2 linked regions of the Macaca fascicularis genome follow. Each later gene encodes a partner of the first gene's protein in a complex. Links are inferred from orthologs where the notes say so. Each region holds a gene or a part of one and is shown on either strand. Other genes may lie near its edges. The genes, in order: IZUMO1 and IZUMO1R.

Region 1 (15,567 bases):
ACAAGCCCCACCCAACTCTCAGGCCCGCCCATCTGGCCGCCCCCGGCCCTGCTCTAGCTCTGCCTTCCACCTGCTAGAGTCCTACACGCACCGTCCAGTCCCCTCCCGCGGGCTCCGCCCCCAGCCAGCCCGCGGGTCCCACAAGCCCCGCCCAGGCCCCGCCCCACGGACCCCGCCTCTCTGGCCCCGAGTGCCCGCCCCAGAGCCCCGCCCGCAGCTCACCTTCGCCATCTGCAGCCCCAAAGGCCTCCTGCTCCAGGCGCCGTGCCTCCTCGCGACCGCGCAGCTCGAAGCGCCGCGCCCAGCCGGGCCGCGCCCGCCACAGCTCCTGCACCAGCAGCGGGCGCTCTGAGTCGCCCAGCACGCGCAGGTGCTCCGCCCGCCACTCGCCGCTTCCCACGCCCGCCGCCGCGGGCCGGCCCAGTGCGTCGCACAGAGCGAAGGCGTCCACGCAGCTGCTCTCGCCCGGGCCGCCACCGGGGCTGCCGGCCAGGCCGTAGCGCTCTAGAGCCTCGGCCACGAGCTCGCGCGCCGTGGAGCGCGCCGTGGCCAGCACGCTCTTGTAGTTGGCGCCCGATGCCAGTCCGGCGCCGAAGATCTTGAGGACCCCCGGGGACGCGGAGGCGCGGGTGGCCAGCGGGGGCTCGGGGGCCACGCCCGCCGCCAGCTCCGGCAGCTTCTTCTCGCTGGCCCAGCGCTGCGCACCCCCCGGGGTCCCAGGGCCTCCCGCGCCGCCGGACCCCGAGGTCCCGGTCCCCGAGCCCCGGAAGAGCTGGGAGATGCGCTTGGCGCGACTACCGGAGGCTCCCCCGGCCGCCTTGACAGCGCCCACTCGCCGCAGCTCCACGTGCGGCGGGGGCGGAGGTAGCGGCTCGCTGCTACGGCTCCCCGTGTCCGACGAAGAAGACCTGGGAGTCCGCCGGGGAACAGAGTCGCGGGAGAGAGACCCGAACAACACGCCAAGACGGGGGTGGAGGACAGATTAGGAGGGAAGTGAGCAGAGACCCAGAGAGAGGACAGGGATCCAGGGTGGATGGACGGGGCGGGGGTGAGGGTTGGCACAGAGACGCGAGGCAAAGAGAGAGAAAATAAATAAATAAATAAATAAATAAATAAAGGCAAGTCCCACAGAGGGAAATTCCAAGAGGTGAGCAGAGAGGGGAGGAAGGAAGGTGAATCAATCCCCCTGCTCTTTCTGTCCTCATCCCGGTGCCGATCTGGCCTCACTCCACCTCCTGCCTGGCCTAGCTCTTACTCCCACAGCGCCCTGGTATCGCTGCGCCCCACCGTCTCGCACTACCCACAAGCTCGCTTGCCCAATTCAGGATGAGGACCGGAGCCAACCCTTTGCAGGACTGGGCCGTGAACAGGGACAGATGGGAGGCAGGTGTGCAGGGCCAGGAGTCCTGCAGAGATGGCACTCACTTGACAGAGGCTGCGCTGGGCCAGCGCCGCCCCAGCTTCGCCAGCTGCTTCCTGGGGGAATTGATCCACAGGCCCACGGGGAGATGAAGCTTCCCGAAGCGGGGGCTTCCGCCCTCCTTCCGTTCACCAGATAGCATGGCCCTAAGGGAAGGCGAGGAAGGCCTCAACTCCTAAGGCACTCTTGTGGGAATGGGGTGGAGGGAACCTGGACTCCGAGTCAGAGGGAGGAGGGGACTGGGGCTCAGACTTGCGAGCCCAGAGGGAGGAGAGGGATGGTACCCTGGATTCCTGGGTCCTGGGATGGAAGATGGCTGGGGGACTGAGTCTTGGGTCCCAGGGAGGAGGGTTTGGGCCGCTGGGTCCCTGGCTCTTACCCTGCTTCGGGTCCGGCACACCCGGAGGCCCTGGCTCCACTGGCCTGGGTCAGTTCCACTGCTCTTGCCTCTGCCACGGCTCCCAGCACTGGGTGGGGGACAGGAAAAGGCAAGAGGAAACCCGGCAGGAAGAGCGGGGAGGGGGCGTCCTGTGAGGAGACCAGGCCTGGGGGAGGAGATCTGGGGAGGATTGGCCCTGCCCCATTCCTTGATTCTGGAATTACGTCGCAGCCAGATGGCCCCCTCCACGACCCAAGGGTCCTGGTTTCCCGCCCTTCTTCCCTCAGGCCGGAGCCCATCCCCAGACCTCTGCTCTCGGGGAACCAAAGGCTAGGATCAGCCCCGTCCAGGGGAGTGAGTCAGATGCTTAGACAACAAGATAAATCTTTATTGGTGCCTCGAATCTGTGGCTTTTTCTTTTGGGACCTGGGGTTGCTCGGCCACTCCACTGCCAAGGCCAAACAGTGAGGACTTGATGAAATCGATCACCTTCCTTCGACAAAATATCCTAGGGGTGGGAGTGGGGTGCAGATCATGGAACCGGGTTGGGTAGTAATTGTGTGGGGGACACCCCTCCCAACCACCCCCTGTGTGACTTTATTCTAGCAATTATCTAAGCCTCGCCCTTCGAAGTCCTCCTATGCAAGCCCCCCGCACTCCATCCCCAGGAAAGTCCTGCTCTCAGTCCTCAGTAGCCCCCAGCCCAGCTTCTGCGTTGGGTTCCTGGAAGCCCCGCCCGTTACTCCAAGCCTAGCCAGCCTTCTTCAACGGGTTGCTCACGCAAAGGTAATGCCGGTTATCAGTGCTAGGGAGCCCCAGATCAGCAGCCCCAGAAGGCGGCCTTTCAGCATTTTCTCGGGCTTCAGAGGCTGGAGGGTATTGGACGACTCCGTGGTCGCCTCCCCCGGGGTTACGATATTTGGGGACGGTTTTTCCTCCTCGACCCTTTTGGGCAACACTGTTAGAGAAAGTGTAAAGAGCAGTCCTGGCAGGGCGTGGAGTTCCTGCCCTGGCAAAGGCAAGCCCGTCCCGGTAGCCTGCCATCCCAGAGATAATCACGCCTTCAACAGTGTAAAGCCTGAACACACCCAAGGGAACGCCTGTCCTCGGGGTCAGAGGCCACGCCCCCGGCGGGAAGCCACACCCCTTGCCCCGAAACCACACCCAACAGGAAGCCACGCCCCCATCGCCGAGGCCACGCCCCCGACGCGGACCCCCAGCTTTCCTGGGCCCTGAATCCTACACTTCTCTCAACCCCACAGCACTGACCTGTGACGCGAAAATTGATGACCGTGGCTGGGCTGGAATTCACAGAGCCCAGCTCGCAGCGGTAGCTGCCTGCATCCTCTGGACCCACCATGGACTTGGTCAGGGTGGGCTCTTTCCCCTTGGACACCAAAGTCTCCGTATTGTTCCCCCAAACCTAGACCCAAGCTCAAGGGGTCACTGAGGCCTGAGGAATTCAGGGGTTGGGGGAGTACCGGGTTGAGAAGATCACAGGGCCTCAGTGTGGGAGGTGGGTGTCCAGGGTGTCACTGGTTGGGGCACGGGATCCCCAGTAGAGACCACACCTAATAGACCACCCGCCTGGGTCATGAGAATCGTGGGTGCAGGCCCACAGATCCAGTACACAAGTATTGTAGTCTAGGGAGTTCAAGGATTACAGAAGTTGAGGCCCTCACCCTGTAAAAGCTGTAATCAGTGAGGCCTTCAGAAGCCTGATGCCAGTTTAACTCACAGTCCAGGATCATATCTTCCATTTGAGGAACCTCCACATTGCGCTCTGGGGGTGGAGGAAGACCATGGGACACTCTTTCACGGTTCTGTTTGTTTGGGTTTTTTTTTTTTTTTTTTTTTTTTGAGATGGAATCTTGCTCTGTCGCCCAGGCTGGAGTACAGTGGCCTGATCTCGGCTCACTGCAACCTCCGCTTCCCGGGTTCAAGCGATTCTCCTGCCTAAGCCTCCTGAATATCTGGGACTACAGGCGCACGCCACCATGCCCGGCTGATTTTTGTATTTTTAGTAGAGACGGGGTTTCACCACATTGGCTAAGCTGGTCTCGAACTCCTAACCTCAGGCGATCTGTCTGCCTCAGCCTCCCAAAGTGCTGGGATTACAGGCATGAGCCACTGCGCCCGGCCTCCTTCACGGTTCTTTACCCTCCCCTAATCCTCTTACATTTGTTGTGACCCCGTCTTTTCTCTTCTTTTCTTTCTCGCTCGCTTTTTTTTTTTTTTTTTTTTTTAAGACGAAGTCTCATTCTGTCACCCAGGCTGGAGTGCAGTGGCGCCATCTTGGCTCACTGCAACCTTCACCTCCCAAATTCAAACAATTCTCTGCCTCAGCCTCCCGAGTAGCTGGGATTACAGGTGCCCACCACCATGTCTGACTACTTTTTTTGTATTTTTAGTACAAAAACGATGGTTTCACCATCTTGGCCAAGCTGGTCTTGAACTCCTGACCTCGTGATTCACCTTCCTCGGCCTCCCAAAGTGCTGGGATTACAGGTGTGAGCCAGCTCGCCCGGCCTCTTTTTTTTTTATTTTTTTATTTTTTTTTTTGAGACGGAGTCTCGCTCTGTCACCCAGGCTGCAGTGCAGTGGCGGGATCTCAGCTCACTGCAAGCTCCGCCTCCCGGGTTCACGCCATTCTCCTGCCTCAGCCTCCCGAGTAGCTGGGACTACAGGCGCCCGCCACCTCGCCCGGCTAGTTTTTTGTATTTTTTAGTAGAGACGGGGTTTCACCGTGTTAGCCAGGATGGTCTCGATCTCCTGACGTCGTGATCCACCCGTCTCGGCCTCCCAAAGTGCTGGGATTACAGGCTTGAGCCACCGCGCCCGGACTTTTTTTTTTTTTTTTTTTTGACAAGGTCTCACTCTTTTGCCCGGGCTGGAGTGCAGTGGTATGATCGTAGCTCACTGCAGTCTCCAACTCCTGGGTCCAGGCAATCCTCCTGCCTCAGCCTTCCAAGTATCTGGGACTACAGGAACACACCACCACACCTGGCTGATTTTAAAATTTTTTTGTAGAGATGGGGTCTCGCTATGCTGCCCAGGCTGGTCTCAAACTCCTGGCTTCCCGATCCTCCCGTCTCAGCCTCTCAAAGTGCCGGGATTATAGGTGTGAGCCACTGTACCTGGCCTAAACCCTGCCTTTTCTTGTCTACTGCCCCCACACCCCCATCTAAGCTCTCTCTAGTCTGTCTCTCCTATCGCCCCACCCCACCTGCACCAGTTCCTCCTGCTGAGTACAGTTCTCTCACCCCCACAATCGTAGGACTTTCGACAAGCGTGAACCTCCTTTTTGCAGTTCTTGCACCAGATCAGAGTTTGCAACATCACACCTGGAGGGGCAGAGTCAAGGCTTGTATTTGCCCACTAAGGGGCATGGCTAAAAGGAGAGGTCAGGGCCAAGGGCTGGGGCCAGGTCATCTACGACATTCCTACATGGTCAGAGGAAGGGACAGGACCAGGACGCAGGTGGGTAGGAAGTGGACTCCAACAAGGCTCAGTAAGGAGTGTAAGTAAAGGCCGGGCGTGGTGGCTTACTCCTGTAATCCCAGCACTTTGGGAGGCCGAGGTGGGCAGATCACAAGGTCAGGAGTTCAAGACCAGCCTGACCAACATGGTGAAACCCTGTCTCTACTAAAAATACAAAAATTAGCTGGGTGTGGTGGTGGGCACCTGTAATCCCAGCTACTCAGGGAGGCTGAGGCAGGAGAATAGTTTGAACCTCGGAGGCGGAGGTTGCAGTGAGCCGTGATTGCACCACTGCACTCCAGCCTGGGCGACAGGGTGAGACTGTCTTAAAAAAGAAAAAAAAAAGAGTGTAAGTAGAATATGACCTGCTCCCCAAGAAATCCAAGGTGGAAAAAGAATAGTGGAGACCCAGGAACCTCTCCAAGGCGGAGAATGACAAAACCATCAGGATTCAAAAAGGCGAGTGGGGAAGCAGAATATGTAGAGGGCAGGATGAGGACTAGAGGGTTAACTTCTGTAATCCGGACTCACCACATTTGTTGGGACAATAAGCTGTGTCAAAAGAGAAAAAAAAGAGAGAGAAAGAGATGACAGAGTCAGATTTCTAAATGAAAGATGATGGAAGAGGAGGTTTGGGGAAGAGCTGGGCTTTGGGCTCTTGGGTTTGAGGGAGAAAAGACTTGGGTCTGAAGGAGGAGGCAGTTGGAGAAGCTGAGGAACTGGGCTTGGAGAAGTAAGGGGCTGGAGACAGGGACTCTTGGATAGTGGAAAGAGGAGCTGGGGGACACAGACTCCCATTTTCTCTCACCCTCTTTTTGGAATCGAGCAACATAGGTGGCAAAGGTTTCCTTTTGCAAGTGCAACATCCAAAATAGCTCCTTCACGAAGAGATCACCTGGGAAGACACAGGAACCCCCAGTCCCACGTGTGAGGTGCTGGAAGTTTACTTCTGCCTGCAGAGCTGGCAGTTTACTTCCTGGCCTTCTCAGGAAAGGGCACTAAAATTGACCGTCTAACGTAATGCCAGCCGCTAGGCTAAGCCATGCATATTTTGGGGGATGGGGGAGGGTCTTACTCTGCCACCCAGGCTGGAGTGCAGTGGTGCAATCATGGCTCACTGCAGCCTCAACCTCCTGGACTCAAGCAATCCTCCGGCCTCAACCCCCCAGGTAGCTAGGACTACAGGCACACACCACCATGCCCAGGTTATAGATATGTGTATATATATATATATATATTGTATTTTTTGTAGAGACAAGGTTTCACCATGTTGGCCAGGCTGGTCTTGAACTACTGAGCTCAAGCAATCTGTCTGCCTCAGCCTCCCAAAGTACCGGGATTATAGACATGAGCTACCCACGCCCGGCCAGCAATACACATTTAAACTGAACAACTGAGGGAGCATTTTAGAGCCAAGGGAGCTTCCAAGTCCTTTGCTCAAGGGCATACAGCTAGGAAGTGGCAGAGCAGGCATTTGAACCTAGGCAGTCTGGCCCCACAGCCTAGTATCTGACCAAGAGACCAGGCAGCACTAATGCTGGCTTCCCTGAGAGATTCTGGACCCCTACTCCCTTGGTGCATTTACCTTTTACATCACTGTCTGTGATGCGTTTCAGATCCTTCAGCAAACTCCAGGACCCCTTTTGCAGTGTGGCCTCGTCTGTCAAGAGAGATACAACCCCAGATTCCAGCCTTACTGTCTCATTGGCGCGCCTAACCTTAGAAACTACAATACCCATGAGGCCACTGGGCAAGGATAGGCCTGGTTAAGGACTCAGTCGCCCGTTGCCTTCTGGGAATTGTAGTTTTATTACGTAAAATCGCCGGATAAGGATAGGGAAAACAGTATGTACTAGCCCCAGGGAACTTCAGAATCTGCATCTCAGCCTTCTCCATTCCCGAATCCCGGAGACCTTGCTGTCAGCCTCTTCCTCCCCCTGGTCTTATCTCCCTCCTTCCCTTTCCCAGGACCCAGGGGTCCGTGGTCCCCCCTGCCCTCACCAACGACCCCCATATAGGTATCCTCATTAAGCGACAGTTCCTGGAAATCCTTCACGGCTTTCTCTACCCTTTCCATCATGGCTTTGTGATGCTTCGCGTCCAGATGGCCAGGCAGATAATCTTTCTCCAGGGACTTTAGCGCCAGCACGACAGACGGGTCACACATAACACACTCCTCGGCAGGAAGCAAGCAACCGGCCAGCGCCGCACACAGGAGGGTAAAATGTGGCCCCATTGCAGCCGGCGCGCACAGTTCCCGAAGACCGTTAGGAAGGCTGCTCTCACCCCAAACCGAGAGCAGGAGAACGCTAAACGGAGAAAAGCCAAAATCCATCTTAAGAAATCCCACTGGGCTCCCTACCCATGGGGTCCCCAAACCGCGAAAAGAGGATCTTCAGGAAATCTCCAAATAAAGAGGACCTATGTCGTTCATCAAATGCCTCCGAAGTGTGAAACTGAGCCCCAACCCAGGGGACCCCAAATTTAGGGTTCTCACTGCATCCCAATTGAGAGATCAGAAAAACCGTTAAACAGGAAGCATTCGTAAGTCCCCAAACTCAGGACCTGGAATCTCCCAACCCCATGCGCCCCTTCCCAAAATCCCAAACTATGGAATTTTCCAAGTCCCCAGATTGACGTGATCCTGAACTCCAACCCTTAAGCGCAACCGTGAGGCACTCACCCGCCAGCCCCCAAAAACCTGTTGAACCTCAAGCTGAAGATTCAAAGCCCAAACCAATAAATCATCTAACACAGACCCAACCCGATATTGTCAAACTCGGAAGTCCTTCAAAACCAAAACACATTCCGAATTCCTAAACCTGGGGTCCGTACTAAGACTTAAGCAAGACTCCATAAGGTCCTCCAGACCCAGGGGGCCCTTGTTCACCCTTCCCCAAAACTAACGGGCTCCCAATTTGCGGGGCGCACCCTTCTGCTTAGAAAAAGGAGCCCTGGTGCATCCTGAACAGTGATGCACCCTAAAGAGCCGCTCCCCGACCTCGATTCCTGACTTGTGGCTTCTAACACTGGGGTTCGTTGAGGAGCCCGGTCCAGGTTCTGAGGGCTTTTAAAGAAGAACCCGGGGTCATGACCACCTACGCTAATTTTCCCAGGGCTAAAATCAAGGATTTTGTTGGGGACGAGGGTAAGGTTGGTTGCGTGAAATCGAGAGCTTTTCGATGGGGGTCTGAGTCACGGAGGATCCCCTCTCCTCAGGGAACTCCTGCAACCACCCGCTGCGAGCTTCTCACGTAGGGGCCCGAATTCCCTTATAGATATTCCTTGGGCGTTCCTTGGCCCCACCCAGAAGCCCAACTCTGTCTGATTGGACTGCAACAAAGGGAGGCCCCGCCTATCGCTCCATGACGTCACAGAGGCTGCAGCCTTTTTGGACTAGAACTTTCCCTGCATCTACCGAAGAGGAAGGCTCCTGACTGCTCTGGCTTCCAGAGTCAAGGACCGGACTCTAGCGTTCAGCTTTCTCCCCTCTCCTTGCCCCAGGACCCAGGCTTTGGGCTAGATCCGGCCCCCCAAGCCGCTGCCGCCCCTACCGCGGTCCTTGGAAACGGCTGTCGAGCTACGAAGTGGACATTTTAGCCATAAGACTACAATTCCCAAAATGTCCTGGGGCCTCTTTCTCTGTAGCTGATTAGCGCTGCCAACCCCATAGCTTTCCGGGAAATGTAGTTCAATGATAATCCGTTCGCTCCCTCCTCCGCCTCTTCTCTCCACGCGGAGGTCCCAGCGGGAGGAGAGGACTGGGGGCCAATACTGAGGGTCCAGAAGAGAGCAACTGGGGGCTCAGACGTTTGGGTCCTGGAAGGTCTGTCTCTCCTGTGTGACTGAAACAGGAAACCAGAAAAACAGGGACCACAACTCTCACAAGTCCAGCAACAAGGAGCTGTCAGATCTAAGTAGGGACAGTACTACCAATCACGAGTAATAAAAATCCTCAGGGCCGGGCGCGGTGGCTCACGCCTGTAATTCCAGCACTTTGAGAGGCCAGGTGGGCGGATTGCCTGCGGTCAGGAGTTCGAGACCAGCCTGGCTAACATGGTGAAACCCCTCTTTACTAAAAATAAAAAAATTAGCTGGACATGGTGGCACACATCTGTAGTCCCAGCTACTCGGGAGGCTGAGGCAGGAGAATCACTTGAACCCGAGAGGTGGAGGTTGCAGTGAGCTGAGATCACACCACTGCACTCCAGCTTGGGTGACTCGGTCTTCAAAAAAAAAAAAAAAAAAGTCTTCAGAAGTACCCACCTTTTCCTCCACTCCCTTACACACACACAAACACACACACACACATACACACACACACACACACACACACACACGGCAGCTCTGACTCCAAAAAAGCTGCAGAGACAGAGGTTGGTGCTGTAGACTTTTAATTCATACCTCCTGCTCTCTTACCTGCGGCAGCTGAGTTGGGAACAGTGCTGTAACTGTAACAATTGTACTGTAAGTGTAACTCCCTGATAAGCTTGGAGGCATGGGATCCTGGATGAGTAGATAGGGGATGTGATCAGAGTTGACTAAGTTTAAGATTTCTTCTTTCACCCTCCAAAAAAAAGCAAGGGACTCCTGAGATCTCGACAATCCTGTCCACCTTGGCCAGACCTCGTGCTCCTGCCTGGATTTGAGGCTGGGTCCAGTGTCTGCAGGCCTTTAGATCCTTTTATCTCAGACCTGCCCAAAGCCAGATGTAATGGTTCTGGGTGTTCAGGGGCAGACAATGGTTAGCAATGAGCACAGTGCTTGCCAGCTTGTCACAAAAACAGAGGGTGTGTTTATGCCTCCACACTTCCAGAAAACAGATCCCAGACCCCCAGCGGCCCACCTGCAGAGAAAGACCATCTTCCTTCATTGTGAGAGGAAACCTGAACTCAGACCCAACATATGCAACTCTGGCAGTTTATGAGCTTAAAAAAAAGTGTCCCTGGATCCCTGGAAAGTTCTGCTCCAGAAGCTGCACCATTTTAGCAGTGATCCCTCACCCCACTTTCACGTTTTAGCCTGTCTGCTCAAAACAAACAAAAAAAAAGTCTTTGAGGGGCTGGAGGGCTGGCTGGACGGAGTCCTGCTCTGCTCACCAACTACCCCAGCTTCTCCAGAGACTGTGAACAGAGCAAGACGCTGGCCAACTAGAGATGGTTTGTTTTCCATCTCGATTTTTCCAGCAATGGTGGGGCACTCGTTAGATGCTACAATTAGGTTGTACATTCATTAGATTCTTCACTTGGCCAGGTGTGCTGGTTCACGTCTGTAATCCCAGCATTCTGGGAGGCCAAGGTGGGAGGATTGCTTGAGCCCAGGAGTTCAAGAACAGCCTGGGCAATATCACAAGACCTTGTCTCTACAAAAATTTTAAAAAATTATCCGGGCTGGGCATGGTGGCTCACGCCTGTAATGCCAGCACTGTGGGAGGCCGAGGCGGGCAGATCACGAGGTCAGGAGATTAAGACCATCCTGGCTAACACAGTGAAACCCCATCTCTACTAAAAATACAAACAAAAATTAGCTGGGTGTGGTGGCAGTCGCCTGTAGTCCCAGCTACTCCAGAGGCGGAGGCAGAATGGCATGAACTCGGGAGGCGGAGCTTGCAGTGAGCTGAGATCGCGCCACTGCACTCTGGCCTGGGCTACAGAGAGACTCCGTCTCAAAAAATATATATAAATAAATAAATAAAAAATAAAATTATCCGGGCCGGGCACTGTGGCTCATGCCAGTAATGCCAGCACTTTGGGAGGCCGAGGCAGGTGGATCACAAGGTCAAGAGATCAAGACCATCCTGGCCAACATAAAAATACAAAAATTAGCTGGGCATGATGGCGTGTGCTTGTAGTCCCAGCTACTCAGGAGGCTGAGGCAGGAGATTCGCTTGAACCCAGGAGGCGGAGGTTGCAGTGAGCCAAGATCACGCCACTGCACTCCAGCCTGGGCAACAGGGCGAGACCCAACAGGGCGAGGCCACTCCAGCCTGGGCAACAGGGCGAGAAAACAAAAACTAAAAAGATTATTCACCTTAGTTATCTAGATTTCCAGAACCCCATCCTGTCTCTAAGGGCCCTGCAGGGTTCTTTACAGGCATCAAATCTGGCCCTCTCTAGAAGAAGTCTCCCTCTAGAATCACTCCAGAAACACAGAAGGGGACTTGGTGAATGTTTGCTCTGGACAATCATATTTTCCTTCAGTCTTTGGAGGACCCAAGGGAGAAGTAACCCCTCTTCTAGAATAGACCAGAGGGAGAGTTTCCTATTCCTGGGGGCAGCCATCTGGAAGTACTGTAGATATGGGCTGGGAAGAGCAGTTGGGCACTGTGGCTTCTAGAACTGCCTGCCAGCCATCAGGAAAAGATGTTTTGCTAGTTCTAGAATGTTCGGACAGTTCCAGAAAGGTCCCCCTTCTCTCCAACTCTCCCAACTAGAATCGCTCTGGAAACGGGCACCCATTTGCTTCAGGAACACCACAGACTTCTCCAGAAGATGCCAGGCCTAGAGCCATGTACTGCTGGCTCTAGAAAGATCAGGCTATTTCAGAAAATCTCCCCGGCTCTCAAGGCTCAGCCAATGTCCAGAGTGGAGACAAGTCTGCATTAATGCCCACCCACTCGGGCAGGAAGGCAGCCTCTGGCTTAAAGATCTTCAGGAACTCAGAGTCTGGCAGGGTGAAGTTGGCCAGGTAGACAGTGTCTCCGCCAGCCAGGTAGGCAGCCCAGAAGCCGAAGGTGCCAATGGTCATAATGGTGTGGTTGCACTGTGTGAGCAGGGCAAAGTCTTTCCACGGTGTAGCCTCCTGTCCATCGCCAGCAAACGTCACGTCGCCCTGGGAGGTGTCGATGTTTTCTTTACACCACTCCATGCCGTTGCTGGTAACCACAAAAACCGGGGCTTCGTGCCGTGCCCGGAACCAGTCCATGGCCTGCCGGAGGTAGGCGCTGTCGCCCACCACACCCTTCCAGCGCTGAGGCATAACCTGCAGATAGTCCCCACGGCGCACGTGGACGCCCACAAAGGTGCGCGGGCGGTCCCCCGTGAGGCCCAGGCGGAGCTGACCCAGCACGCTCTGCGCCTCTTCCCGAAGGTGGTCGTGCAGGGTGAACTCCCTGCGGATCTGTTCCCGTAGATGGTGGAAGAAAGTCCAAGAGCAGGGGAAGCCAGAGAGCTTCAGGAAAGGATCCCTCAAGTCCGCATACTCCTCCGACATCCAGTCGTGAAGCTGCAGCTCCCGCCACGGTGTGCGGCTGTCCACTTCTGGGGCCAGCACGGGCAGGGTGATGCGGAATACCGGCGCCAGGGCGGCATGCATGGCAGGCAGGATGAAGGCCCGGCGGCCATTGAGCTGGGCCAGAGCCAGCAGCGTGGCATACTGTCCCATCTGATTACCAAACCGACCATCGGGATAGATAGTCCAGGTGCCGGAGAGGGAGGCAGAGTTCTGGGGACAGGAAGAGGAGGTGTTGGGGCCCACCGGGGTACCTGGCAGGCAGAAGATGGCCACCGGGGGTGTCACCAGGCGGCGATCTGGACACAGGATCGACAGGCGTAGGCCATGTGGAAAGCTGTCTTGGTGGATATGGAAGAAGAAGGAGAGCGCAGAGAGGACACAGACTAGCAGGAAGGCCAGGCAGAGCTGACGACGGCTCGGGGGCCACATGGCTGCAGGGGAGGAAAGGTGAATTAGCAAATACACAAAGACTAGGGAGGGGAGGCTGAGGAGGGATGTGGGGGAAGGGAGGTGCCTGGGGTGCAGCACTCCTTAGTCCCAGGGAAAGAGAAAGTCACAGGTTTAGACTCCTGGGGCTGAGGTAGAGAGCGCCGGAGTCCTAGGTTTGAGGGATGAGAGCCTTGGAATTTCGGGGCATGGGGATTGGAAAACAAGTGGTTTTCAAGATAGCCATGATTTGGCTGGGCGCCGTGGCTCACACCTGTAATTCCAGCATATTGAGAGGCTGAGATGGGAGGATTCCTTGAGCCTAGGAGTTCAAGATCAGCCTGGGCAACAGAGCAAGACTCCGCTTTTACAAAAAAAAATTAAAATTAGCTTGGCATGGGCCGGGAGGGGTGGCTCACACCTGTAATTGCGGCACTTTGGGACACCAAGGCGGGCGGATCACCTGAGGTCTGGAGTGGGAGACCAGACTGACCAACATGGAGAAACCCTGTCTCTACTTAAAATACAAAAGTAGCCAGGCGTGGTGGCGCAAGTCTGTAATCCCAGCTACTAGGGAGGCTGAGGCATGAGAATCGCTTGAACCCGGGAGGCGGGGGTTGTGGTGAGCCGAGATCGTGCCATTACACTCGAGCCTGGGCATCAAGAGTGAAATTCCGTTCCCCCCCCCCCAAAAAAAATAGCTTGGCATGGCGGCACGTGTCTGTGGTTTCAGCTACACCGGATGCTAAGGCGGGAGGATCCCCGGAGCTCACAATGAGCCGCGATAGCACCACTGACTGCACTCCAGCTTGGGCGACAGAGAGGGACCCTCTCAAAAAAAAAAAAAAAAAAAAAAAAAAAAAAGCAAAACAGACAGCCATGGTCCAGGTTCCTGCACCTTTCCTGCAGGAATCTCGAGTCTCCCCTCCTGTAAGGTCCGCTGATACTGGACTCTTCCATCAGCCTGTTTCTCAGGAGTGGCTGTCTGTGAGGAACAAAATCCACCACAGAGGTGGTGATGGGAAGCGATAGTCAAAGTAAAACAAGAGAGGCTGGAGGGTCAGGAGCGGAAGCAGCATCTTGGTTCCTGGAGAAGTAATGGCTGGGGAGGCGGCGGAGAGTCTTAGGGCCTTAGGAAGACCTGGAGAAGAGGTTGGGGGTGCACCTCCTGGCTCTGAAGGAGTTGTTGCTGGGTCCCAGGCACCGGCAGTCCCCACTTACCCGAGCTGCTTGCAGGTGGCAGATCCACAGTCCGCTTTGCGTGGCCGGAGCGCGCCCTCTACAAAGGCAGGCCACATCCGGCCGCCCCTGGAACGCCAGGCGTCCGGCTCTTCGGCCTCGCAGCCCTCCCCTCCGCGCAGCCTGTCCGGACTGGCAGCGAGGGCTTGGGGAGGGGAGGAAGGAGGGGGCGCGGCCGGGAGTTTCTCAGCGTCCGCCTTCCCGGGCTGGGCAGATGGCTGGAAGGTGGAGGCCCGCCCCTCACTTGGCGCCGAGCCCCAGCGCCCCGGGCTAGGGCGATGGCCCCTGGACCCACCGCTCCCCAGATCGGGGATGTGGGGGACCGCGCCCTGCCCCTCCGCCCCGGCATTGACCTCCGTGAAGGCTTCACCCGGGGCAGCCTACCTGGCTTGCGAGCAGCCGCGGCATCATTGCGTGGACCCGGAGACGGAGCTCCCAGTTGCAATGCTCGAGCCGGGAGGTCCAATCCGCCGCCCTCTCCCTTCTGGTGCCAGGGCTTAGAGTCGGCCCCCGGCACCTGGGTGCGTCGAGCCTGGCCACGCCCCAGCGGCTGGGCAGGGCCCCCGCACCTGGTCCGGGCGAGTGGAGCGATCGTCCGCCCCCGGCCGCATCCTCCTGGGGAATGGAGAACCTGTTTGCCAGGCTGCCGCGGGAGCGCGCGAGGGCCTCCAGCCTGCAGGTGCCCCCCGCGCCCACCAGGGTCTCCGATCTCCCACCCACCCAACCCGCCGTCCACACTCAAATTCCAGAATCCCAGCTTCTAGTCACTCCTTTTGGGGAATTCTAGGGTCCCGTGCTAAACTGCTACTTTCCAGACCTGCATTGTACCGAGGCAACCATTCCAATGCTGGAGACCGGAGTGGAACAGGATCTGTTTCCCATGCCGTCAGCGGGGGCCGTGGCTGCGGGCGCCAGAAACAAAGGCCTCTGCCCGCTTGTCACCTAATGAAAGCATTTTCTCTGGTCCAAGGCCCACCTCCAGCATCGCCAACCCCAAGCAGGGCGGCTGATGTAGGGTCCAGCCTTACGGGGCTTTGAGGGTGTTCTTCCCCTGTGCGGAGACCAGAGATTGTAAGAAATAAAGACACAAGGCCGGGCGCGGTGGCTCAAGCCTGTAATCCCAGCACTTTGGGAGGCCGAGACGGGCGGATCACGAGGTCAGGAGATCGAGACCATCCTGGCTAACACGGTGAAACCCCGTCTCTACTAAAAAATACAAAAAAAAAAAACTAGCCGGGCGAGGTGGCGGGCGCCTGTAGTCCCAGCTACTCGGGAGGCTGAGGCAGGAGAATGGCGTGAACCCGGGAGGCGGAGCTTGCAGTGAGCTGAGATCCGGCCACTGCACTCCAGCCTGGGCGACAGAGCGAGACTCCGTGTCAAAAAAAAAAAA
Region 2 (15,335 bases), on another chromosome or scaffold:
CCCCAGGTTCAGGCCCTGTGGGTTGTCACACCTGACACATCCCATTCACTCACTCACTCATTCATGTATTCAAATATTGAGAGGCCCTTCTATTTACCATAAACTGGTAGGAGCTGGTAACAGAAGGCAATATGGTTCGGCTGTGTCCCCACCCAAAATCTCATCTTGAATTTTAATCCCCATAATGCTCATGTGTCAAACGCAGGGCCAGGTGGAGGTCACTGGATCATGGGAGTGGTTTCCCCCATGCTGTTCTCATGGTAGTGAGTGAGTCTCACAAGACCTGATGGTTTTATAAGCATCTGGCATTTCTCCTGCTTCACTCACTTGGTCCTGCAACCCTATGAAGAAGGTGTCTGCTTCTCCTTTGCTTTCTGCCATGCTTGTAAGTTTCCTGAGGCCTCCCCAGTCATGCGGAATTGTGAGTCAATTAAACCTCTTTCCTTTATAAATTACCCAGTCTCAGGTATTTCTTCATAGCAGTGTACGAACAGACTAATATAGAAGGATAAAGTAAAGTCCTCACCCTTAAGGAACTCAAGAGTCTAAGGAGGGCGGAGCAAGCAAATATGCAGAAGATTGCATCACCCTGTATTAAGCATGATGCTGAAAAGAAGCATTGAATGCCATGACAGTCCACAGAGGAAGGGACAAAAGCAGGCTCTCTTGTGATGAAGGTGCCTGAGCAGAGCCTGAGATGATGAGCAGCCTGGTGGAGAAGCAGGGAAAGGTCATCCCCAGCAGATGGAGCTGCAGATGAAAAGGAACAGAGTGGCGGTAGAGCAGGGAGTAGCTCAGTGTGGCTGGCATGAAGGGTGAGGATGGGATGGGGGGAGAGAGGTTTCTGTTGTAACCCATGTCAGATGATGATGAGCCTCGAATGATCATGTTAAAGTATTTGCATGAGGTGGTGGAGGAAGAGGGGTCCAGGATAGCTCCAGGCAGGGTGACTGAAGGGAAGGGGTCCCATTAGCCAGCACAGAAAAGGAGATTGAATGTGGAGCTAAAACAGGTAAGTGTAAGGTGCCTGTGAAAAATTCAAGTGCAATACCATTGGAAGTATGTAGATATGTAATTCTACAGGTCGGGACTGTATAGAGATTTAAGAGTACCCACATATAGATGATCACTGAAGCCATGTTGGGGGTGATATTGCCCAGAGAGAGAGAGTGTACCGTAAGAAGAGAAGAGGTCCAACCAAGAACAGAGCCCCAGAAAGCGCTTAAAGGGCAGAAGGAGGAAATGGAACCTATCAAAGGGACCAAAAAGGAACTAGTTGAGATGTAGGAGGAAAGCCCTGAGAATCAAGGAAGAAGTGAGTTTCAAGAAGGCCGGGGGGACTGAGTACTTTGGTCAAAGGCAGCTGAGGAGTCAGGTAGGATCCAGACGGACCTTACCCACTGGATTGGATAATTTAGAAGTTGCTGCTGAATATGGCCAGAGTGGATTCCAGGGAACGGTGGTGGAGTCAGGCAGCAGGGAGGGATAATGAACATGAGGAGACACGGAGGAGCCACCATGAACATACACAGGTTTTATACAAAACATAGCTAGGAAGAAAAGACAGTTTGGTAGCTGAGGTGGAACTTAGGGTCTAAGGACAGTTCCAGGAAGGGATGGTGGGTGGATTGAAAATATATGGAGGCTGGGCATGGTGGCTCACACCTGTAATCCCAGCATTTTGGGAGGCCAAGGCAGGTGGATCACTTGAGGTTGGGAGTTCAAGACCAGCCTGGCCAACATGATGAAACCCCATCTCTACTAAAAATACAAAAATTATCCAGGCATGGTGGCACGTGCCTGTAATCCCAGCTACTCGGGAGACTGAGGCAGGAGAATTGCTTGAACCCGGGAGGTGGTGGTTGCAGTGAGCCGAGATTGCGCCATTGCACTCTAGCCTGGGCGATGAAGTAAGACTCCATCTCAAAAAAAAAAAAAAAGAAAAAAGAAAAGAAAAGAAAGAAAATGTATGGAGAATAGTTGCATACTGTAAAACTGCATGCAAACCTTAGTTACTGGTTAATAATGCCCTCTGATACACCCAGCAGCAGCCTGGTATGAATGTGACAATGTGACATAAGTGTGATGGTGAGCAAGGGAGCCATCAGCCCAAGAAGGAAAATAAGGAGAGTAAAGACATTTTTTCTTTCTCCCATCTGTAATTTTCAGTTAATTCCTTGTCCATAGAACATTGGTGTTTTGCTCTCTGTTCTCCCCTGTTCTCCCTTGGACTCTTTTCAACAGTTGATGAGCTTCAAACTCATTTCCTTTGTGGTGATTAGACCTAAAAAGTGGCCTTCTTCAAGTGGCAATGAGACGCCCCAGCATTAACACTCTGAAATATCACAGAAGTTATCAGAAACTGAAGAGGCTCTGGTTGGAAAATCTGGGAGTGAGGAAGAAAACTGAGAGAGGAAAGGCAGGGAGGGGAGGGGCGGGAGGAAAGGCTGAGAGGAGAGGTCACTATAAACTAGAAGGAGGAAGAATAGAGGAGGGAAGGAAAAGAAAGAGGGGATAGGAAGGAAGAGAGGAGAGGGGAGGGAGGGAGAGGAGAAAGAGAAAAGAGGGAAGAGATGGGAAGAAGGATGGGGAGAGGGAGAAGGGAGAGGTCACCTTAAGTTGGAGAGAAAAGGATGGGTGAGCATATGATAAAGGAGAAGAAAGAGAAAGAGGAAAGGAAGGAAGGCAGGGGAAAGGGAGAGATGGGATAGGTCAGGTTAAACTAGGGAAGTGTCTGAATTAATATTCCAGGAAGAGATGCTGGATGGATTGAAAATGTCTCAAGAACAATTGCACATTGTGAAACTGCATACAAACCTCAGTTATGAGCTATTACACTCAGCAGCAGGAAGCAAGAGAGGCAGAAAAGAGAGGTGGGATAGGTCAGGTTAAACTAGAGAAGTGTCTGAGTTAAAACTACATTTTTAAGAAATGCAGTTTGGGCCAGGCATGGTGGCTGCTGCCTGTAATCCCAGCACTTTGGGAAGCCGAGGCAGGTGGATCACTTGAGGTCAGGAGTTTGAGACCAGCCTGGACAACATGGTGAAACCCCGTCTCTACTAAATATACAAAAAATTAGCCAGGCATGGTGGTGTGCACCTGTAATCCCAGCTACTCGGGAAGGGGGTTGAGGTGAGAGAATCGCTGGAACCCAGGAGGTGGAGGTTGCAGTGAGCCAAGATTGTGCTACTGCATCCCAGCCTAGGCAACAGAGCAAGAGTCTGTCTAAAAAAGAGAAAGAAAGAAAGAAAGAAAAGGAAGGAAGGAAGGAAGGAAGGAAGGAAGGAAGGAAGGAAGGAAGGAAGGAAGGAAGGAAGGAAGGAAGGAAGGAAGGAAAGAAGGAAGGAAGGAAATGTAGTTTTATTTTACTCAGGTATTTCTCCTCATCTACTCAACAAATTGCAGAGTATGCACTCTGGGCTAGGGACTGTGTTTGACCCTGTGATCGTTACTATCTTCCTGCAGCTGCTTACAGAAGAGAAGCAAGGTCGAGCCTGTCTGCAGGCATTCATTTCCAAGGGCAGGACGTATGTGCAATGACTGCAGCAAGCATAAGCTCCAAGAGACATCTCACCAGCCCATGACGGCCATGCAAGTTTCCCTGACAGGAAGCCTTTGGTTCTGAGAGCTGAAGCGTATGTATCCCTAGACACAGAGGCTGGGCTATGACAGAACAGCCCTGGAAGAGGGGCCCCTGCAAGGGGCAGGACAAAGACGGGCCATCAGGCCTCAGGAGTGCCCAGAGCATCCATGAGAACAAGGACAACAAATTAAGATGGAAAAGTAAATAAAAACCACATTTAAAAGGGCTGGTGTGCCACGTTAAGGATCTGGGACTTACCTTAAGGTCTAGAAAGGTTTTAAACATGGGAGTATCATAACTGTCTTTACATTTTTAAAAGATCATTCTGAAAAACAAAGACTGCAAAGAAATGTTGAACCCTGGTTAATGATATGCAGGCTTGAATTACTTAGGAAGACATCAGTTTACTGATATCCGCAATTTACTTTGAAATGCATAAAAAATAATAAGACTGATACCTGAATAGAGAGAAAGATGGTTGGCTAAACATATAATAAAGAAAATATAAAAAAATGGTAATGGTGAAATCTAAGTAGTGGGCATATGGGAGAGAGTTGACTATAAAATTATCTCAACTTTATGTTTGAAAACTTTCATAATGAAAATACTGATAAAAGAAATGAAATAATTATATGAAAAATATACCTGCATTCTTACGTTTATTACAGCACTATTCACAATAGCAAAGATTTGGAATCAACCTAAGTGTCCATTAACAGATGAATGGATAAAGTAAATGTGGTAAAATATATACAATGAAACACTATTCATCCATAAAAATGAATGAAGTCATGTATGTTGCAGTAACATGGATGGAACTGAAGCTATTATCTTAAGTAAAACAACTCAAACAAAAAGTCAAATACTGCATTTTGTCACTTAAAAGTGGAAGCTAAATAATGTGTACATATGGACATAGAACATGGAATAATAGACGTTGGAGGCTCGGAAGGGCGGGAGGGAGTGAAATATAAGAAATTACATAATGAGTACAATGTGCAAAGCACAGACTTCACCACTATGCAATATATCCATGTAACCAAACTGCACTTATACCCTTAAATTTATACAAATTAAGAAAATTCTGAGACATTACATCATTATGGCTGCTACATGATTAAAGCTCCATTAAAGGGTGGGAGAGCTAATTAGGGGGTTGTTGCAGTAACTGAGGCAAGAGCTGATCATGGTCCAGACAGTAAGTAAGGGATGTGAATTCAAGAGATATTTAGAAAATGAAATCAACAGCTCTGGCGATTAGATAGACATAGAGGGAAGAATAAATTAATATCCCTGTTTACCTGCCCTAGACAGAAACCAATCAAGAGTTTAGATGAGGATGGTCAATTGGGTTTGGGGTGAGAAGAATTCATGAAAGACCCACTAAGAACTTGGAATCACTGAAGTCCCCTTCGGCTGGCCTCTGACAGCGGATTCTCACCAGGAGACTCCAGGCTCTAGCTCTTCACTTTCGTAGTCTGTTCTCGAAGTCAGTGGGCTTCAGCCCCTTGGGTGACCTGAGGACGGGAGAGGGGAGGGAAGTCATCACTGCCCAGCATCTCCAGTGGCCCCAAACCAGAGCCAAGGCTGGGTTGCTTCACCCACTGCCCTGACCTCCTTGTCTTCCCTCAGAGCCCTCTGAAGGCAGCTGTACCTCTTCTTTTGGAAATGGAAGTGTTCTGTGTTGTTGTGTGTGTGTACGTGCGTGTGTGTGTGTGTGTTTTTAGAATAAAATTGTTTTGAATCAGCCACTTCAAATTGCTTCATCTACAGTCAGCTTTGATTTATCTGCTTTCAGTCAGAAAGCAGATTGCTCTGGAAGACTCAGTCACAATAAGGCAAAAATAAGCTTTGCTCAAGGGTCTCAAGCTGCCTCTCCCCCGAGAGCAGATGCTGGCCGGCCTGATGGTTCTCTGAAAGGCAGCCTCACTCACTGGGTAATTCCTTCCTCCCTCCCTCCCTCCCTCCCTCCACCTGCATATGCGCTGGCTGCAATTTTAGCTCATTTCCTACAGCTTTGTCCCGGAGACCGTTAGCAAGCCGCCCTTAGTCCTTCTTCCCACCCTAGGAAGGACGGTTGTCAGAGGACCTATTTCCATTTCAATAATTACTGTTGTGATTCATGTCTGGATTCTTGGCTCTGGCACCTCCGCAGCCATTTTAAATTGAACCTTAAACCCTAAATCTCTTACCTTGTCAAGGCTTGGAGCTTCCTGAATATTCGTGAGGAACTGAACAGAATATGAGAGCCTGCTTCTCCCCCTGCCAGGCTATGGAGATGCTATTACCATTTGGTATCTGAACCTAAGGAGGAGACTCCAGGCTCTGCTTCAGGTGGGGACATGGGAGAATGGGTTGATAACTGTCACTTTTCCAGAATAAAGCCAACACACACCTCCCAATGCATGTACAACCTCATTATGGCATTTAACCTTTTTTAAGAAGGAGACCTCACTTGAGAACCAGACAGTATCGACTCTTTTAGTCCTGGAGGTTTCTCCCTCACCTGGTCCTTAAGCATTAGATAGGGAGTCGAGTATACCTGAATTTATATCCCAGCTCCACTACTCACCTCTGAGCCTCAATTTCCCCACACCTAAAACAAGGAGGGTGTTCACATTGGAGGTCTTTTTGAGACATCAGATCCTGTAGACAGCACCAGGCCAGTGCCTGCATCCTTGTTTGTGCTCCGCATTCAGTGGCTGTGATTACCTAGGTGTGGAGAATGTCATTTTCCAACATGAGTACACGTTTTACACATCAATTGTGTAGCTGAACACCACAGAATGTATTTTATTTTATTCCATTAAAAAATGCTTTTAGTGTTTTGTTTTCATTTCCTTTGTGTCAATAAAACTTCACTGATTTCAGCTACTTCTCTTTCAGAGAGACAGAGAACATATTATAAAAACAAAGAAATATGCTCCTTTTCCAGCGTTTTTATCATCTTTAGGACTCTCCCAAGAATCCTATCCAAGTTTCTAGTCTCTCCTTAGCTGAAAAGGATAGTCTTGCAAATATGATCACTGATGAGGACACTTGTAGAATATTTCCCAGGACGATTCCTGTGTGCTAAGGGGAGCTGTTTGGTGGGTTATGGAGGGACTTTCTTTGTTTTGTTTGCTTTGGCTTTGTTCGTATGTTTAAATTCTTGGGTCCCCAAGGCCACACTTCATCTCTGCATCCTGTGTCCTGGGTCTGCTCTCCAGCAGGGACCATAGCTCCTGTGGGCTGTGCGAGGACACTGTCGGAAAAGCCACCAGGTGACTGAGCTGATGCCTGGCTAACAGTGAAGGGCAGGTAGAGCTACGGAACAGAACATAGGAGGGGCGTGTGGAGAGAGGATAAAAGAATACAATTTAAAATCATTAAGACTTCCTCTATCCCAGGCACAATGCCAAGGTTTTTGTTCATGAACTTTCTCTTTATTTTTCCCAATCTCATAATAAAAACTTCCTTTCCAGAGAGGGAAACTAACAGAGTTTGAGTCATTTTCTCCAGGGGAGCCAGCTAGTGAGTAGCAGAGCTGAGAGCTGAACCCAATAGCTTATTGAAGAGCCCCAGATCTTGCCTACGATGGGGTCTGTTTCTCTGAGGAAGCAAACTTCTTAGAACCCACAGGCCTGCAGAGCTGAGTAAGACAGACGCTGTTTAATGGGAGCCACGTGGAGTTCTCCTCCTGCACCTGGACCTAGTAGAAATCAGACAGGGTAATAAATGGGTGGGACGTGGAACTCTCCTCAGCCTCACAGTTTCAGGGGGAGGAGGGAGCAAGAGCACCTGGAGGCCCCTGCCTTGAAAGTGAGTATGAAGAGAGTGCTGGAAGGGGCAGCGTCTTTCCTCCTTTTACCTAACAGACCTGATTCTTTAAAAATATTCGAGGTCATGGCTGAACTTGAAACTGGTGATCTGGAGAGAGAATAGCCTTAGATTTGGACTTCAGGTTGGACTCTGAAGAGGGGGCTGGGCTCTTCTTTCCCAGGATGTTTGAGGCTCTTAGCTCAGGGTAGGCTAGAAGTTTCCAGTTTCACCATGATGGGTCCAGGTCAGGCTCCTGCCAGACCTGGGGGGCTGGGGGAGCCATGGGCTCCTGGGTTATGAAGCTGAGGGGCCCTGTGTCTTAAGAGGTTGGGTGCTTGAAGCCCAGGGCCCCTCTCTGCCTTTTGCTTTGTTTTGTCTCTCTTTCTACTACCTCTCATTACCACTACTACCCAGAACAGAGTTGGATATAGGAAGGGCCCTCCTCCTCATTCCTGTGATGGGGATCAGTCTTTGGATGTAGAAGGCTCCTCCTATCTGACTCGTGCCTCAGCATTTCCCTGGCTCTGCAGGGCCAGCAAGGCCTCCAGCACTGTGTCAGGCCTCCGAGGATTATTCTACCTGCCCTGACATTCCGTGATGCTGCCTCCAACAGAAGGTCCTAGGAGCAGCCAAAGTGTTGTAGTCGCTTGAGGGAGATTGAAGCCCATCCTCCTTTTTCAGCGCCTGCTATGATGAAGTGGGTGGAGTGGGGTATCCTTTCCAACGAGTGTACAGCATTGGTCTCTCTGCAGCAGGCCATGGCATGGTGGTGGCCACTCCTACTAGAGCTGTTGACAGTCATGCCCACCTGGGCTGGGGATGAGCTACTCAACATCTGCATGAATGCCAAACACCACAAGAGAGTGCCCGGCCCAGAAGACAAGCTCTATGAGGAGGTACAGTGGCCAGACCTGGGGATGGGACGGGGAAGATCAGGGAAGGGACACAAATGCCAAGATGGTCTCCAAACCTCATCAACCCTGATCATTTGGTCCCTGGGGTTGGGAGTTGAGCAAAGACAACTAGATGGAAAGAGACTATGCCTTTTTGAGACCATGAGAGCCAAGTGATTCAAAGTTCCCATTTCTGAGCTGCTCCAGCCACTGGGAAAGCCAGGGCAGATGGTGATCCCAGAGGTCCATTGTTGACTCGGCGTAGATGAAAACAAGCCTTCCTGCCAACAGGTCCTGGGGAAACATACAACGTATGTAACCCCTCCCCAAGCTCCTAAAGGCAATTGCCAGGGATGTGGGAGGAAGAACACAGTTGGCATTTTGCCTATGAGACCCTCCCACTCAATGCAACCCCAGATTCCCCTAGGTCTCGCTGGGGCTCTTCTACCTGCTTTGCCCTAAGAGGTTTCTGCTGCCTCTCAGGAGCTGAGAGCCCAGAAGTTGTGTTCCTAGAGGACTGTAGCAGCCTGTGGCAGGGGGTCAGTGTGCAGGTGCCTATGCCCTTTGGGTAAACATTGAGAGATTATCAGGGTTCCTCTTATGTAGGGGCTTACCAGCTAAAGGCATCCCACTTGCTCAGGCCTTCTCCTAAGGGACATTTTCATTTCAGCGCCCTTCTTCCCTAGACACCCGGCAATCCTTGCCCCTTATGCCTGGGCCTTTTGTTTCCTCGTCTGCCTTCAGTGCATCCCCTGGAAGGACAATGCCTGCTGCACCCTCACAACAAGCTGGGAAGCCCATCTGGATGTGTCCCCACTCTACAACTTCAGCCTGTTTCACTGTGGACTGCTGATGCCTGGCTGTCGGAAGCACTTCATCCAGGCCATCTGCTTCTATGAGTGCTCCCCAAACCTGGGGCCCTGGATCCGGCCAGTGGGAAGCCTGGGGTGGGAGGTAGGAGGCAGATCTGTGCAATGCTCTGTTATTATATTAACAGCCAGAGCTTTCACCCTATCTTATGCTGATGCCTCCAGGATGCTAGCAGGAACAGGAGGTGTTATCTCCCTATGGACAAGAGCAGACCCAGAGGCCCCTGCTGGAGAACCACATGGGGGAGACTGTTTTGACAACAGTGGGATGCAGGGCTATCACCACAGAAGGCTTGGTGGAGTTAGACGGACCTGAGCCTCAGTCTCATGTTCTGTCCCTACCAGCTGTATAGCCCAGGACATACTATTAAATCTCTTAGCCTCATTGGTGTTATTTGTAAAATAATACTTAGAGACTTTATAGAAGATGATGTACATATGGTAGCTGGCACAAACACCACTGTAGCTATTAGTAATCTTCACATCTCTGCTATTAATGTTCTTATCTCTGGCTATGACTGCACCCAGGAGGCCCCGAGTAGGCAGGGAGAGCGAGTCGTGAATGCACCGCTGTGCCAGGAGGACTGTGAGGAGTGGTGGGAAGACTGTCGCTTGTCTTACACATGCAAATCCAACTGGCGTGGCGGCTGGGACTGGAGTCAGGGTGAGTGGTGCTGACAACGCCTTGGTGGGGAAGCAGGACCCTTGGTGGTCCCCACAAGGGTGCAGGTGCATAGGCTAGGAATGAGGGAGTAGGAGGTAAGCTGTCCCTCCTCCATCCCCTGCAGGGAAGAACCGCTGCCCCAAAGGGGCCCAGTGCCTCCCTTTCTCCCATTACTTCCCCACCCCAGCTGACCTGTGTGAGAAGACTTGGAGCAATTCCTTCAAGGCCAGCCCTGAGCGACGGAACAGTGGGCAGTGTCTCCAGAAGTGGTTTGAGCCTGCTCAGGGCAACCCCAATGTGGCCGTGGCCCGCCTCTTCGCCAGCTCTGCCCCATCCTGGGAACTGTCCTACACCCTCATGGTCTGCTCCGTGTTCCTGCCATTCCTTTCCTGAGAGCCCTTCTTCTCCAACCCACATTCCTGCACGTCCGCCAACTGTGGGTCAGGCCAGGCCACAGCCTACCTCCTTCCTCAGGCCCTCCCCTAAAAGCAGTGGCATGGGCTAGGGACTGGGTGGGACTGCAGTCCCCAGCCCATGCCACTGCTTTTAGAGGAGGGCCTGAGGAAGGAAGTGGCCACTGAGGCTTCAGCCGCTGGTGCCTGAGCCCTGCACATTTGGCCCGAGGCCCCCTCCACTGCTCTGCTCTGCCTTAGCTGGCCTGGGAGGCAGCTGGGGGCTGGAAGTACCAAGGTGACTGGCCCCCTGCTGCCTTGAGGGATGGGAGATTTTAAGGGGCTCGAGGACTTTTCCCATCCAGTGCACGCCTACCCCTTTCTATGACAGAGCTCATGGTGGCAGACCTGGCCTCCCGTCCTCCGATGGTGTCTCCAATAAATCGGCACTCAACCTCTCCTCTGCTTGACTTCCTCTGTCTTAGCTTTACGAGCAGGGACCCAGCATGCACACAGCGGGAAGCAGTTTGCCCACTGCACTGAAGCCTCAGAGTTAGGTTGTTACTTGCCTAACAATTATTACCCTCTTACTATCTGCCACACATCCTCACAACACCTCTCTGATGGGAGTACTTTCAATGCCTCTTTTTTTTCAATAAGTGACACCCCATACAAAGGACCCAAAGCCAGGGCGAGAGGAATGGGGCCACCCAGTGCATCAGCTCTATTTTGGCTGCCAAAATTAAAACTGCTATCTCGACTGCCTTCAGGGTTCCCTCTTCCTTTTAACCCATTCATTTTACCCCAGAATCACAGCACACTGGTCTAAAATTTTGGAAACCCAAGTTCTAATCTGGCCTCTTTGCTTTCTATATGACTTTTGGCAACTCCTGTGATCTTCATTAAGACTGCCTTGGTTTCTCTCTCTGCTAAAGTAATGAGTTAGTTGGATTTCACTTATGGAAAAGAAGAAAAAGGAAAAAGCTAGCAACCTTGTTTGCCAGGAGATAGTGTGTGCTCCTCAGATGGTACGCCACGACCTCAAGAATAAAGTGTTAGAACTGAACTGGGGATGGGGCCCTGACCTCGCACCCCGGCTGTAAGTGGACAAGCAGCTGACCTGCCCATCCAGCATCTTCTGGAGCCTGGAGCTGGGCGGCTTTCCAGCAGTAGGTGATGCTTTTCCCCCACAACATTTTATTTGACAAAGAGAGGGTTCTAGCATGGCTGCACTTGATTTGGCTGGCTTTTCTGACAACTGTTCATTCTTGTCAGACACCAGCCAGCCCCACTCATTGCTTAAACTCGGCCTCCATTCCTTCTGCACCGGCCTCACAGGCTCATCCACTGAGCAGACCTTGTCTCAGGGGAGGCACTGGAGTCACAAAACCAACAAAGAGCGTCCTTCCAAGTGCGGCCCTCAGTGTCTAGAGTAGTAGATGACAGCTGCAGTGAGGACAAAGCTGTTCATAGGAAGTCTGAAAGAAAGGGGTTGGGTGGGGGTCTCTGAGAATGCCTCACAAAGGGGTGAGGCTGGAGCCCCAAAGAAAGAGGGCAGCTCACTGAGAACAGAAGGGAAGTGCTAGTCAAAACCCAGTGGAGGCCCCAAGGTATGAGCCAGATGAAGCAGGACCTTCAATTGCTCTTAAATGAATAGATTGTGGCTTCAAAAATACATATGAATGTATCAAAAATCTCTTAAAGAGCTTAAAAAATTGAAAATCTCTTGAAAACTGAGGTGTCTGTGGGTGTGTGGTTGATAATAAAGCTGAGAGGTTAATGCCCTTTTTAAAGTGTTTTTAAATATAAGGAATTGCCAAAGGAAGGTTAAAATTGGAGTGGACAAAACAAGAGTAGTCTGGAAGCCCTAATAACTTGATACTTATTGATCACTTACCATGCACCCAGTATCTCTGGGAAGTATATAATATATATTAGTTCATTTGATCCTCACAAAAGCCTTATTATCCTTGTCGTATTATAATATTATCCTCATTTTTTACTATTCTCATTTTTCAGATTGGGACATAAATATAAGTAGGTTTGAAACCAGCTAAGTCTGAGCCCACAGTTCCAGCTCACAGGCTTACACTGAACAGCCTGGTCTGTAGTTGAGTGGAACTGACGTGGATTTAGGAGTGGTGGGAGAGAGGGAGGGATGGCTGGTGGCAAGTCACAGTCAGGAAAGAGACTGAGTTCTCCCCCTTCATGGGATTAGGAGTCATTACCCACAGGTCACAATTGACAGTTTAAAAGTAAAAAGGCTTCCAAGTTAACCCACCTAGGGTAGGCCTTGTGGTTCATGGTGACATCCTTTCCCTGAAAAAGAATCTTATTGTGAGTTCCCTGTTGGCATACTGCTTAATGTGTAGCCTACCGACATTGAAAAGGGTGCTGATTTTTTTTTTCTTTCTTTCTTTCTTTTTTTTTTTTTTTTTGAGACAGAGTCTCTCTCTGTCGCCCAGGCTGGAGTGCAATGGCACAATCTCAGCTCACTGCAACCTCCGCCTCCCGGGTTCTAGCGATTTTCCTGCCTCAACCTCCTTAGTAGCTGGGACTACAGGGACCTGCCACCATACCCAGCTAATTTTTGTATTTTTAGTAGAGATGGGGTTTCACCATATTGGCCAGGCTGGTCTCCATCTCCTGACCTTGTGATCCACCTGCCTCGGCCTCCCAAAGTGTAGGGATTACAGGTGTGAGCCACCGTGCCCAGCCAGGAGTGCCGATTTAAATTTACATATTAAAGTTTTATTGATTGTCTTCCACGTAGACATTTTAGCCTGTATGTTGCAATCTGTATCCAATAATTGTAACCTCTATATTGTACCCTCCAATGAAAAAGGACAACTTCAGGATGCGAAATCCCCTCCCTTCTCCTAAACTTTCCTATAAAAAGCCTTCCAACATGTAACACTCCAGAAGACTCCCAACTTTGTTAGTGTGTCTTCCTGGGTCAATATTCACATTTGGCTTCCAAGAAACCTTTGTAAATTATTTCTGCTTCCAACAAACCTTTGCAAATTGTTACAAATAGCCTTAATTTTGGTCAACAGGAGGAGTGATGGGTTGTAAGCAATGGAGCAGAACTGTCAGATTTGCAGTTAGATTGTGTGTTTTAATCAGAGTGATCCATGCACATGGCTCACACACATCGGCCAAAGGATTTCTAATGCAAAGCGAGAGAGCGGCTGTCAGTTCACCTATCCACCAGGTTCCTACCCTAGGAGCACCCCTTCTAACCATTTCTGGGTTTAGCTATGAAAAAGTTACAAAATGTGACTTACCTTTTCTGCCAGACGTTCAGACTATGTTTTTGCTCTCTGTTCTGTTTGAGTTTCTCAACTTAATCCTCCAATGATTTTAATTCCAGCAATCCACTTTTAATTTCCAGGAGATTTTTTATTTCTTTTTTTTTTTCACAGCCTGCTGTTTTTTGTTTCATGGATGTAATATCTTCTCAAATGTCACTGAAGATCTAATTAGAATGTTTTTAAGCTTGTTTTGAGTCTCTGAATGACCTGTTTCCTCCAAGGTCAATCTGTTCTGTTTCCTTGATTTTCTCCTACGTGCTGCTGGTTCTCTCTGAGTCCGGTGGCTTTGACTGTCTATCTTTGGCTGTCATATTTAAGAATGAGGAGCTGAGTTGATTTTATAGTGAGCTATTTTAGGTTTCCTCCATGGTTTTATATAAGGATCTTCATTTCCCCTAAATAGCAGCCCTGCTGCTATTTGTAACAATTTGTAAAGGTTTATTGGTATGTGGGAAGAGCTTGTTGAGAGAAAGACCTTGCTTCAGAGTGTGAAAATTAATGAAGATACCCAAATAAGAACAAGCAAAGGCTATTCGTTCAGAGCTTGCAAGAGAGTCAGCTACTATCACTTGCATTTTGCCAGAGACTCAAGGCAAGGAGGGGAGTGGGAAAGTTTGAGTGGATAAAAGGGAAGGCTTCGGCTGGGCGTGGTGGCTCACACCTGTAATCCCAGCACTTTGAGAGGCTGAGGTGAGCAGATCACAAGGTCAGGAGATCAAGACCATCCTGGCCAACATGGTGAAACCCTGTCTCTACTAAAAATACAAAAAAATTAGCTTGGCGTTGTGGCGGGTACCTGTTATCCCAGCTACTTGGGAGGCTGAGGCAGGAGAATCGCTTGAACCCGGGAGGCAGAGGTTGCCGTGAGCTGAGATCGCACCATTGCACTCCAGCTTGGGTGACAGTGCGAGCCTCCATCTCAAAAAAAAAAAAAAAAAAAAAAAGGGAAGGCTTTAAGTCTGCTAGGCTCAGAGGCTGTGGGCAGGGGCAGCTGAAGGCAGGCTAACTGGAAATGGGCATCCTATGTGTTTGGTTCAGGGAACATACTTAGCTTTTTCTGATTGGTCCTAAGTTGTAAATGGAGCCAAAAATAAGAAAGCTGGCTATTAATAAAAAATTCTTGACCATGTTGGGTCAATTGTGATAGGGATTATTCTTTGGCTCCCTACACTGCATCTTCCTGAAGGTAAGATGCCTTACCAAGTGCAGTTAGGAGGTTGGCTTCTTGGGCTACTAGTGGATCAGAATCCTGTTTTATATACAGCTAACCATTGTTCATTTGTAGATTCAGTCTTTCAATCCCAGGGACAAAAATTAGGGAACAGTTATTAATCAACTCCTGGCTGTTTGGGGCTACTGCAGGGCTGATTGTTCGGCTTTCTGGGCTAATTGCTAGAGAGAGAGTTCTGATGTCCTACAAGTCTGACTTGCAAGATAGTAGGATGGCTTCTGGGCTGGTTACTATAGATAATGGGTTAGAGTTCTATTGTTATATGTGGTCTGGTCATTGTCCATCTGTATATTTAGTCTCTCGAGACCAAGTTAGCAGGAGCTATATTGGGGTATGGAGCCTTTGCGTGGCAGAATAGGGATGGTTCTCTCTGGGATGCTAACAACCATATGTCAAATTTCAGCACTGTCCAATTAGCTGGGCGTGGTGGTGCCATGCACCTGTAGTCCCAGCTGCTTGAGGGGCTGAGGCAGGAGGACTTCTTGAATCCGGGAGGTTGGGGTTGCAATGAGCCAAGTTTGCACCACTGCACTCCAGCCTGGGTGATAGAGTGAGACTCTATCTTAAAAAAAACAAAAACGAAAACAA

What was found.
Region 2: the proteins of IZUMO1 (region 1) and IZUMO1R are in contact, whole or in part, in a crystal structure (PDB 5JKC), measured with the Homo sapiens proteins. The link is inferred for Macaca fascicularis from reciprocal best matches to the Homo sapiens genes IZUMO1 and IZUMO1R. Residues at the interface, in NP_872381.2 of Homo sapiens: Met75, Val77, Tyr134, Val141, Leu146, Trp148, Lys150, Asn151, Lys153, Glu155, Val156, His157, Ala158, Arg160, Lys161, Ser162, Tyr163, Asn239, Ser240, Ser241, Pro242, Ile245; in NP_001186135.1 of Homo sapiens: Lys42, Tyr44, Glu45, Ile48, Leu58, Trp62, His65, Leu66, Asp67, Gly80, Leu81, Leu82, Met83, Pro84, Gly85, Arg87, Ile91, Met145, Ser146, Tyr147, Gln171.

The regions. Positions count from the first base shown.
Region 1 is NC_088393.1:56,731,712-56,747,278, forward strand, and holds IZUMO1 (izumo sperm-egg fusion protein 1), read right to left. Parts: upstream 7,736-15,567; 5' UTR 7,615-7,735; coding exon 7,281-7,614; intron 6,940-7,280; coding exon 6,865-6,939; intron 6,175-6,864; coding exon 6,088-6,174; intron 5,832-6,087; coding exon 5,811-5,831; intron 5,144-5,810; coding exon 5,063-5,143; intron 3,583-5,062; coding exon 3,482-3,582; intron 3,223-3,481; coding exon 3,069-3,222; intron 2,758-3,068; coding exon 2,580-2,757; intron 2,308-2,579; coding exon 2,187-2,307; 3' UTR 2,167-2,186; downstream 1-2,166. Other genes in the region: RASIP1 (ras-interacting protein 1), read right to left, coding at 223-908, 1,426-1,562; FUT1 (galactoside alpha-(1,2)-fucosyltransferase 1), read right to left, coding at 11,841-12,941. UniProt on the Homo sapiens protein: Essential sperm cell-surface protein required for fertilization by acting as a ligand for IZUMO1R/JUNO receptor on egg.
Region 2 is NC_088388.1:93,303,909-93,319,243, forward strand, and holds IZUMO1R (sperm-egg fusion protein Juno), read left to right. Parts: upstream 1-8,142; coding exon 8,143-8,280; intron 8,281-9,021; coding exon 9,022-9,231; intron 9,232-9,674; coding exon 9,675-9,810; intron 9,811-9,934; coding exon 9,935-10,203; 3' UTR 10,204-11,502; downstream 11,503-15,335. UniProt on the Homo sapiens protein: Receptor for IZUMO1 present at the cell surface of oocytes (oolemma), which is essential for species-specific gamete recognition and fertilization.